Linked DNA regions of Oryctolagus cuniculus. The protein of the gene in region 3 binds, or shares a complex with, the protein of the main gene of each other region. Links are inferred from orthologs where the notes say so. Each region holds a gene or a part of one and is shown on either strand. Other genes may lie near its edges.

Region 1 (3,733 bases), on a different chromosome or scaffold from region 3:
CAGCTCCCACACGAAGGTCCTGGGATCTTCCTGATGCCCTTGTTCCTAACTCAGTCTTAGGCCAGACCAGAAAACCACTGCCACTCAGACCGCCCCGCCTAGTCCTTCGCTCGCCCGCCCTGCCCTGTCGCCGATACAAAGCGGCTTCCGAAGCCTACGTGGCGACTCTTACCCTTCGGTCCGTAAATGTCCCCCGGTTGATCTCAGCTAGCCCGCCGCCGACAAGGACCGAGCTCCAGCCTAGGAAGGCCACCCTTTTTTCCCCGCCTGTGTGAGCTGAGAATCAGCCGAGCTCCTTCTACCTAGCGGATTGGCCGGGCCTAGAGTCGGCTCAGCCAGTCGGAGCTCTCAGCGTGATGTTGTCCAATGAGAGCAGGTCTCACCCTCCCAGCGCACCGCCCCCCGCCTGGGCCCGGGCTTTGTGAGGTTAGCCCTACCCACTCCAGACGTAGACCAATGGGGAGCGCTGGAGGTGAGCCGGCAGCCAACAGGGAGCTGGGCCGCGCGCGCGGGGCGGTGGGAATGGCGCCGAGTCGGTGTGTACGTAGGTTGCCGTAACAACGGGCAGCGGAGTGCGTCGGCTATGGTGAGTGCTGGCTCCCCAGTCCGGCCTTGCACCCAGGGACTGAGTCCTTCTCAGGGCTGCGGCCCCGCCACACCACACTGACTCTCTTGCTCACCTTTAGTGCACTGATCCTTCCTTTGAGCTCTTTCCCGGAAGGGTAGACACGCCAGCCACCCCGCTGGGCCTGCGCTTCGCCCTAGCCTCCCCGTCATGCACAGCGGGCCCTTACCCGTCCCTCGGGTCCCCCTGGCTTTCTCTACCCGCCTCGGGGACTTCCTAGGCAAAGAAGAGGGCCCAACCCCTCTCAGATCCTGGCCCTTTCAGATCTTGGCCTCCTCTCTCTGCCAAACTTCCCCCACCTGGGAGGAGCTTTGTTATGTTCTGATTGTTAACTTGTATTTTACAATTTAAATATGGGCATTCCGGAGATGCTTTGAGCATCTTGGGGAGGGCATGAAGGTGCCAAATAGATTGTTTTACTATTTGATATGGACAGAACACTTATCTAAACAACTTAATAATCTTTGGCCAAATCCAGAAGTAATCGGAAAGTCAGAGTACCTCTTGGGAAGCCTAGTACCGCGAGGGGTTGTTTTTGGAGCCAGGATCCCCGCGTTCAGGGAGGGCAGTACTCACTTCGAGTTATCTACAGTCACTTCCTTAGCTAACTGCCTCGGAGTGATGTATCCGAAGAACAAGGGATCTCTTTGCTTCTAACAAATACTACTAAAGAAAAGGGAGGGAGAGCGCTTCACGGGAAGTTTCATTCTTTCCAATAAACCCCATTATCTCTTGTTGAGCAGAAATTGGGAATTGGTTGGTATAAATTAGTTTTAAAAGAGATAGCAGTGTCTGTAACTATGGACTGTATTACATAATAGTGTGCTCATGTGTTCGTATAATTTCTACAGGCCTCTAACTTTAAGAAGGGAAACATAACATCTAGTTCCCAGCGGAAAAGGATGAGTCCTAAGCCTGAGCTTACTGAAGAGCAGAAACAAGAAATCAGGGAAGCTTTTGATCTCTTTGATGCTGATGGAACTGGGACCATAGATGTTAAAGAACTTAAGGTAAGCCCTGCACGTTCTTGCTATACTACCTCTGCTTCTTCCTTACCCTTTCTCTGTCACAACTCTACCCCTTTTGCCCTCTCCTTCCTGTAAAAACTAACAGGGCTGGGATTTTTGTGCTCTCTTTTCCTGTCTTTTATTATGCCAAGTGTTACTAAATAAAATTGACAACAAAGGTCAGTTACATCAATGTTTATTCTGTAGTCATTTTACCATTATTATGGTAGATGTTGGCTTAATATTCTCAACACTTATATTTGCTCCTGCTAGATTCAGATATGCATATTGAGACATTCCTGTTTCCTTACAGGTGGCAATGAGAGCCCTGGGGTTTGAACCCAAGAAAGAAGAAATCAAGAAAATGATAAGTGAAATTGATAAGGAAGGCACTGGAAAAATGAACTTTAGTGACTTTTTGACTGTGATGACTCAGAAAATGGTAAGTTAGCTGAGATAACCATTAGCATGTTTTTTACTCATAGTGATAGATAATGTCTATCTATCTAGAGTAAATGCAAAAATAATTTTAAAATAGTGATAAAGTCTATCTATCTAGTCTAGATGTGAAAATGACCTAATTGGAGAAAAATTGACAAAGATTGGAGAATTCATCTGATAAAAGATAGTATTTTTGACTGAGAATTAGCCTAAATTCTCTTTGGCTTTCTTCAAGGTCACAAACTAATGAAGTCATTTCACCCTTTGTAAAGTAGCAAAAGTGTCATTTTTCACTGTTTTTCCAACTGATATATCTGTGATAAACCCAAATAGAAAAACTGTAGACACCATTCATTTTTAAATGCAAGGTGGAGGGTTAGGGAATGAATCTAAGAAGTTGATTCCCCTGGAAGTCCCTCCTTGGCATTTGAACTAGAGCAAACTCTGAACAGGAGAACACAGCAAAATACCAGGGCTTAGCATGCCAATGTGCAGTGTCAGGTTCACTAGGTGTCTCAGCAGCTGCCTCTAATTCTGTTCTTTGTCTTCTTGGCTTGTATTGTTGTAAATGGGGGGGGGGGGAATGGGCAGTGGTGGGGCTATGGAACACGGGTAACCATGGTGTTTTCCTGATAATGCATTTTATGTTCTACTTGTTAAGTCTGAGAAAGATACCAAAGAAGAAATTCTGAAAGCTTTCAAGCTCTTCGATGATGATGAAACTGGAAAGATATCATTCAAAAATCTGAAACGCGTGGCCAAGGAGTTGGGCGAGAACCTGACAGATGAGGAGCTACAGGTTTGTCATGTGTGAGGCTGGAACGGTGAATTCCCACCGTTGAGCCCTCTGAGACTTCTCTGCTTTTGATTTTTCCCTGGTGGGAAAACCTCTTTGAATGAAAGATACTGTTCTTTGGCCCCTTTGCTAACAACGTAACTTTCCTTTGATAGTCTGACAATCCTATGACCCTGCTTCCAGAAAAATGCATGTGTGTACAGTTTTATTTACTGTTTTAGGTTTTGGGAGTCCTTCTGGTCAAGTCCTTCGAACTTCCTTCCAGGTGACATGTATGACAAAATATGACTTGGTTTTCCAATGACTCTTCAAGAGCCAAGTTATTATAATGTATCGAGTAGACTACAATTGTCTATTCAAATAGCAATGTTAAAGCCTATGATGTAGTCACCTTTTTGTTTATTTTATGAATTAATGTTCTCTGAATCTTTACTGTCATGCAGGAAATGATTGATGAAGCTGATCGAGATGGAGATGGAGAAGTCAATGAGCAAGAGTTCCTGCGCATCATGAAAAAGACCAGCCTTTACTAAGATCCATGTCGTCTTTTCTACTGCAAGCACACCTAACTAGATTTAGTGCCTGCCATTGTGTAAAATCTGGCTTTTGAGAACACAAACTATTTTCTCCTGCACTGACCTCCCTACATAATTTTAGTTATGGCCTCTAATCTATTTCAGACTTTTAAAGTGTTCTTTGATACTCAATCTCTTTGTAAAATGACCTGCTGATTACTTGAGTTCTCCAAAGCAGAATAAGAGCACATTGGAGCGGAGAAAAGGGTCTTAAAGCATTGCCCACCTTCCATTTGCCTTGCATTGCTTCGCTCTTGTCATATATGTCACAGAGATGCACACTGAACGA
Region 2 (3,749 bases), on a different chromosome or scaffold from region 3:
TGGTGCCTTTCTTGGTCCTCCAGTCTTCCTTCCATGGGCCTCAGATATGAGTCCAGTGGCAGCAGGGGAGGGAGACAGAATGACCCCTCTACTACAACTGAGTCCTACCCCCCCAAGTCACTGCAGGGGTCCCGCTCCCCTAAAGCAAGATTGTTTCCCAAGGTTCATAACCCTAGTTAGGAGGCATGCCAGCGTGGGTGTCTATTTTTCTGATCACATTCACCTGTGAATTTGGATGTAATCAAAGGTTGCAGTGTGGGGCTGGTGCTGTGGCATCACGGGTAAAGCCGCAGCCTGCAGTGCCTGCATCCCATATAGGGGCCAGTTCAAGTCCTGGCCACTCCACTTCTGATCCAGTTGTCTGCTATGGCCTGGGAAAGCAATGGAAGATGGTCCAAGTCCTTGGGCTCCTGCACCCGCATGGGCGACCCAGAAGAAGCTCCTGGCTGCTGGCTTTAGATCAGCCTAGCTCTGGCCGTTGTGACTATCTGGGGAGTGAACCAGTTGAACAAAAGATCTTTCTCTTTCTCTCTGCCTCTACCTCTCTGTAACTCTTGCCTTTCAAATAAAATAAATAATCTTTTTAAAAAATGTTGAATGTACTGTCATACAATCAAGTCAATAAAGACATCTCTTAAAAAAAAAAAAAGGTTGCAGTGTTTAATGGAGTAGGAGGAAGACAGGAAACACCAAGCAAGTGAGGGAGTGAGAAGGTGGTAGCACAGTGGATTGCAGGTGGATTTGCACTGCTGCAGTCGGTGTCCCAGAGGGTGGAGGGTGAGGCGGAGAGGGAGAGGTGGGGCTGGGTCAGAATAGGATGAATGAAACACAGTGACAGAACAAAACTGCCATCACCGGCAATAGCAAGGTTACAGTAATGTTTAGCAAACGTTGGCTATTATTAAGGAAAATAACCTTTCCCAGTAGAAATTAGCATTTTCCTCAATCCCGAGTACCTCCTACAGCATATCGTAAACATCCACTATGGGCGCTTCACTGCACTGACAGCCAAGAGCAAGCTCAAGGGCGGGACCAAAGGCAAAGTCCTTGCACAGACGCAGCTGAGCAGCATTCAACTGCACACACGATGCTCCTGACCCAAGAACGCCCCATCCACCTTCAGGAAAGGACGCCGACACAAAATGCCCCTGCCCTGCCGCAGCCCATGTGTCGCCTAACGGTGACGCCAGGGAGTCCGGGCAGAATTCTACACACGGAATCCTGACGGCGGGAGAGGCGGCCGCCACCCAGGACCAAACGGCTGGACGTTGCCCTTCGGGGCAGGCCCGGCCCAGCCCCGCCGCCCGCCTGCCCGCCCGCGCCGCTGTTTTTAAAATGGAAACACACCCGGTCCCGCCTCCAGCCGTGAGGACGCCGGGTAAAGGGCGCTGCCCTCCGGAGGGGCCCTAGCTTGGCCTTTTCGAAAGTTCCTGTACACAGGGCCTTCTCTTCTGGGTTCTTCCCTGCCTACTCTCTCTCCCGACCTAAGCCCAGCAACAAAAGCTCACACTCGCCTTTATCCCCCCGGGCTCGCTCCACCTGTCCGCCACGGCCCCACCTTCGCCCCGCCCCCGGAAGTGACGACACCACGCGGCCCTGCCGTTGTCCCGTCGGGCCTCGCGGCGGCGGCGGCGGGAAGATGGCGGCGGCGGGAGCGCTGGAACGCAGCTTCTTGGAGCTGAGCGGAGCCGAGCGGGAGAGGCCGAGGCACTTTCGGGAATTCACAGTCAGCTGCGTTGGTACAGAAGTGGCCGGGGAGGGTGCGGTCCGATCGTTCTCCGCGGTGTCTCCCCTTGGGTCCCTGGGTCTCTGACCCTCCTGTTCATCCTCAGTCCACATGCCCGTGGTCTCTGGATCGGAGAGCTTCCTTGATATCCGACTTCTTCCTTCCTCCCCTTTCTCTTTGTACGGATTGTCAATCGGCCGCCCTCTGCCCGGCGCCCGCTGCCCCTGTCATCCCTAGGGAACCACGTGTGTAGGATGACCGCGTTCATTTTGCAGGGACTGCAAATGTTGTGGCTGGGGCCGCGAAGTACAATGAGAGCGCGGGAGGCTTCTACTATGTGGAAAGCGGCAAACTGTTATCCATCACCAGGAACAGGTTCATTCATTGGTAAGTGCTGCGTTCACCCACCCCTCCCCCTGGAAGTTAGGGTTTTGTGTGGCGGCACCCACCTGTCAGTTCTTGTCGGAATCGGGAAGTTTCTGAGACAGGGAGTTTTCTGTACGATGTACACACACAGGCCCCCAGGTGTCAGTAGAAACAGCGGGAATGTGACTTAGGGAATAAAGCCCAGAAGACCCGTTCCAAACAGGAGCCGATTGTCTTACAGTGCTTTCGTGCCTCCTTCATCCCACCGATAGGTTGGAGGTTCCACATCAGGCGTTGTGCTAGGGGCTGGGCTGAAATGATGAGCAAAAACAATCCCTGCTTTCATCGGCCGGCCGCTGTAACAATGCAGGAATAATGTGGCTCCACCTTTCATGGCACAGTTTTATGAGGGAAAAAGATGTGAAACATAGATGTATGAATACAGACTCTACCTGCCCCAGAGGCATGTGTAGGGGCTGTGAGAGGCTAATGGGGAAACCATCAAGGAAGCCGCAGTTAACCTGAGACCTGAACGACCAAAGGTTAGCCAGGCAAGGAAGGTGTTGGGGGAAAGCAGTCCAGCCTGTAGGGTCCCTGCGTGCAGAGGCCGCGAAGGGGAAGGACGAGCTCGGCAGGTTTGGGGAACTGATTGAAAGTCTGCGGCAGAAGCACAGTGGGCAGAACAGAGTGATGTGAAGGATGCTGAGGCTGGAGCGGTAAGGCAGGGCTCGGACCACAGGGGACCCCCATACACCCAGGTGGTTTTTTTTTTGTTTTAAGATTTATTTATTTGAGGGGCAGAATAATTACAGACAGAGACATCTTCTATCCACTGGTTCTCTCCCCAAATGGCCACAATGGCCAGAGCCAGGGGCCAGGAGCTTCTTCCAGGTCTCCCACGTGGGTGCAGGGGCCCAAGCACCTGGGCCACCTTCAACCGCTTTCCCAGGCCATCAGCAGGGAACTAGATAGGAAGTGGAGCAGCCAGGACTTGAACCCACATTCATATGGGATGCTGCCATGGCAGGTGGATGCTGCCACAGCGCCAGCCCTGACCCTGTTTTTCAGGGTGCTGGATTTTATCTCAAGTACATTGGACTATCATTGAAGAGTTTTAAAGAGTTAATTAAAACCATCAAGACCAGTCTACTTTGTGGAAAGCACATTTGGGTTGGCTGGATATAAGGTGAAAAATCAGTTTACTTTTATGATGACCAAAATGTGGGAGTGGCTAGGAAAAAGGAAATAGGTGGTTTGAAAATATATTTAGAAAGTAGATTGAGTAGGACTTGGTGGTAGACTGAATGTGGGCAGGAAGCGGTAAGGGGAAGGAGAGAGCAAGGATGGTGTCCTGGTTTTGGCTGTGACTAGTCTGGTATGGGGTGGGAGGGTGCCAGTGACTGAGATATAAATGGAAAGGTGTGAGTGATTCTTCTGAACATACTAGATTTGAAGTGCTAGTGCAGCAGCCTTCTGAGGGTGTCAAGAAAGCATTGGCAAGGTATATGTCTGAGTCTCAGAAGAGAGACTTAAGTTAGAGAAATCTCCTTTACTTAAGAAATATTTTCCATGCCTAATATGTTTCAGTTAATGTTTAGGGATTAGGGATATAGCAGGGAACAAAACAAAGTCCTTGCTCTCAAAAAGCAAGCAATAA
Region 3 (3,649 bases):
AAAGGCAGAGTGACAGAGAAGAAGAGACAGAAAAAGATCTTCCATCTGCTGATTCACTTTCCAAATGCCTGAACAACTGGGGCTGTGCCAAGCCAAAGCCAGGGACCCAAAAACTACATTAGGGTCTTCTATGTGGGTGGCAGGAGCCCAAGCACTTGGGCTATCCTCCTGCTGCTTTTCCAGGCATTTTATGCAGGAAGCTGAATCGGAAGCAGAGCAGCTGGGACTCGAACCACCACTCATATGAGATACTGGTGTCACACTCACTGTACCGTCACAACACCAGCCCTGAGACCAGTTAACTTTTAATTTTGCACACACCACCAGTGACCCATGTCTCTCACCTTAATAACCAAAAGAAAAGAAAAAGGGAAGATCACATTTCTTTTCCTCCCCACTTTTTCAGAATGTCTTGATTTCACTCAAATGAAGACTCTCCCAAATTTTTCAGACTTAAACAAGGGTTTGACATTATGAATACAAAGTGTAACCCTAGTATTTTTTTTTTTTTAAGAAAGATTGATTTATTTTATTTGAAAGAGTTACAGAGAGAGAGAGAGAGAGATATCTTTTCAATCAGGTACACTCCCCAGATGTCTACAACGGCCAGGAGCTTCATTTGGGTCTCCCATGTGGGTGGCACAGGCCTAAGTACTTGGGCCATCTTCCTATGCTTTTCTCAAGCCATTAGCTAGGAGCTAGATAGGAAGTGCAATGGCTGGGACTTGAACTGGCGCGCATATGGTATGCCAACATTGCAGGCAGAGGCTTTAATCATTATGCCACAACACCAGACGCAACACTAGATATACATGCTGCTCCACTCCCGATCCAGCTCTCTTCTGTGGCCTGGGAAAGCAGCAGAAGATGGCCCAAGTCCCTGGGCCCCTGCACTCACGTGGGAGACCTGGAAGAAGCTCCTGCCTCCCGGCTTCAGATCTGCGCAGCTCCTGCTGTTGCGGCCAATTGGGGAGTGAACCAGCGGATAGAAGACCTCTCACTCTCTCTGCTTCTCCTTCTCTCTCTGTGTGATTCTTTCAAATTAAAAATGACACCTGGAACAAAAACTTTATCCTTCTAAGTCATGCAAAAAAGCCAAATCTTATACTTAAATCATTTTACAACAAAGACATCTGCTGGGTAAATCTATAGTGTTCTTAAACTACTAGATTACCTATGAACATTTTGACATTTTTATGTTACACATCACAACTGAAACTGTGAACATATTTCATTTCTTCAAACTACTACCAACTAGCTTTCAAGCCTTGCTTCATTTCAGGTAAATACTTTCCTCTGGGCATATATGTTACAATTCATCAAACGTGGCCTTGTTTGGTATATACCAAACTGCAGAATAATTTGAGATGGCAGTTGAATGCTTTCATCAGAGGAACATGTGTGCAGGTACATCATTAAACTTATTTGCTTATTTCACATGGGCCTAGCTCTAATAACACATAATTCATTTTCTCCTGCCTTTGCCTCTTAGAGACCTCATGTTAGTGAAGTCCTTGAATAGCACACAAATTCCCACAAAAGAATTAATATCTACATAGCTACTTTGAAAAGTCCCCTCCTATCAGATTAGTCAGCATTTTTTTATAAAGTACAACACCAAGTGATATTAAAATGAAGTCCTGAGTTTGTATAATAAGATTTTTGATTATCACAAGAGCAGTCATTATCTTACCAGGGTTTTTCAGAAGATCTAGGACACTTCCCTCTTTCATAATTTTTGCAGGTCTAAAAGGACCCTCATAATCTTCACCTTGCCTCTTCATACAGATTGTACTGCTGGTCACTGCAGTGGTATCTTGAGCTGTAATTATTTTAATTATAAAAGCTATTATGCCAAGAAAAAGCATTGGACTCGAATTAATTTAGAAAAAACTTTCAAAGCGAACTCTTGGATCGATTTCTAAAACTTTAGTAAAAAAGCCACTTTACTGAACATACTGATAAAAAAAACCTGATAAGTAATTTCCAACTGAGCCAATTATTTCATTTCTAGAAATTTATACAATTTAAAATATCTTTCAATTATAATATTAAACACCTATGTGATAAAATGGTTAAAAATAAGGGCCTAGTAGTTACAAGAATCACAATAGTAACATAATGAAATGCTAGGTAGTCACAAAATAATCTTAAAAGCATAGTTTATGGGGGACAGCACAGTGGGATAGCAGGATAAGCTGCTGCCTTCAGTGCCAGCATCCCGTAAGGGTGCCCGGTTTGAGTCTTAGCTGCTCCACTTCCAATCCAGCTCTCTGTATGGCCTGGGAAAGCAGTAGAAGATGGCCCAAGCCTTTGGCCCTTGCACCCCCGTGGGAGACCTGGAACAAACTCCTGGCTCCCGGCTTCAGATCAACACAGCTCTGGCTGTTGAGGCCAACTGGGGAGTGAACCAGCTGATGGAAGACCCCTCTCTCTCTCTCTCTGCAACTCTTTCCAATAAATAAATATTAAAAAAAAAAAAGCATAGTTATGGGTAAAAGGAGGTTAGAATAAGTGCAGAGGATTAAGAATATTCGTATCTAAAGATTAATGGTGGCTACCAATGGTAAAATGAGTGCTCATTATAGCTTTTATTTTTCATACTTTCCAAAACAAGCGTATCTTTGTATGTAACGTAAGCGATCTGGGGTTTTGGGTTAAAATGCCCATATCTCACATTAGAGCACCTCGGTTTGATACTCAGTTCTGTCTGCTGGCTCCAGTTTCCTGCTAATTTGATCCTGAGAGACTGTAGTGACAGCTCAAGTAACTGGGTTCCTGAGACCCCATGGGAGATGTGGATTTAGTTCCAGTCTCCTGGCTCTGCCCACACCTACTCCCTGCTGTCCCATTTGGGGAGTGAATCAGCAGACAGGAGCACGCAATAAAAGGGGGTTGGCATCATGGCATAGAGGTAGCTGCCTGCGGTGCTGGCACCCCATACAGACACTGGTTCAAGTCCCGGCTGCACTGTTCCACTTCCAGTCCAGACATCCTGGCTGCTACACTTCTGATCCGGCTCCCTGATAATTCACTTGGGAAAGAAACCAAAGATTGGCAAAGTAACTGGGCCTCTGACACCCACGTGGGGCAATCCAGAGGAAGCTCCAAGCTCCTAGTTTTGGCCTGGCCCTGCAACAGCCATTGCAGCCATTTGGGGGATAAACCAGTAGATTAAAGATGTCTTATAAATAAATAAACAAATGTTAATAATAAAGTAAAATAGGGGCTAGTGCTGTGGCACAGAGGGTTTAGCTGCTGCCTGCCAAGGCTGGCATAACACACAGGCACTGGTATGTATCCCAGATACTATACTTCCAATCCAGCTCCCTGCTAATGGCCTGGGAAAAGGAATAGTAGATGGCCCCAGTGTCTGGGCCTCTACCACCCACTTGGAAGACCCAGATGAAGCTTTTGGCTTCTATCTGGCCCAGCTGTTTTGGCCATTTGGGAAGAGAACCAGCAGATGGAAGATCTAATTCTGATTTTCAAAATAAATAAAGCAATAAATATTTAAATAAATTAATAAACAAAAGTTATGTAATATATGTTTCATCAATACAACTATGCTCCCCAAAATAAAAACCACTGTTCCTACAATTGTGTCAATAAAGAAAACATGTTTAATCACTTTATAATAGTCTATCCT

What was found.
Region 1: NUP153 (region 3) and CETN2 share a complex: the UniProt entries of both Homo sapiens proteins name them as parts of the nuclear pore complex. The link is inferred for Oryctolagus cuniculus from reciprocal best matches to the Homo sapiens genes NUP153 and CETN2.
Region 2: NUP153 (region 3) and NUP160 share a complex: the UniProt entries of both Homo sapiens proteins name them as parts of the nuclear pore complex. The link is inferred for Oryctolagus cuniculus from reciprocal best matches to the Homo sapiens genes NUP153 and NUP160.

The regions. Positions count from the first base shown.
Region 1 is NC_091453.1:131,267,268-131,271,000, reverse strand, and holds the start of CETN2 (centrin-2), read left to right. Parts: upstream 1-803; 5' UTR 804-1,018; coding exon 1,019-1,024; exon of another isoform or gene 1,025-1,381; intron 1,382-1,476; coding exon 1,477-1,635; intron 1,636-1,945; coding exon 1,946-2,074; intron 2,075-2,734; coding exon 2,735-2,872; intron 2,873-3,312; coding exon 3,313-3,402; 3' UTR 3,403-3,733. UniProt on the Homo sapiens protein: Plays a fundamental role in microtubule organizing center structure and function. Required for centriole duplication and correct spindle formation. Has a role in regulating cytokinesis and genome stability via cooperation with CALM1 and CCP110.
Region 2 is NC_091432.1:18,169,550-18,173,298, forward strand, and holds the start of NUP160 (nuclear pore complex protein Nup160), read left to right. Parts: upstream 1-1,378; 5' UTR 1,379-1,639; coding exon 1,640-1,739; intron 1,740-2,001; coding exon 2,002-2,113; intron 2,114-3,749. UniProt on the Homo sapiens protein: Functions as a component of the nuclear pore complex (NPC). Involved in poly(A)+ RNA transport.
Region 3 is NC_091436.1:144,878,149-144,881,797, forward strand, and holds part of NUP153 (nuclear pore complex protein Nup153), read right to left. Parts: intron 1,823-3,649; coding exon 1,694-1,822; intron 1-1,693. UniProt on the Homo sapiens protein: Component of the nuclear pore complex (NPC), a complex required for the trafficking across the nuclear envelope. Functions as a scaffolding element in the nuclear phase of the NPC essential for normal nucleocytoplasmic transport of proteins and mRNAs.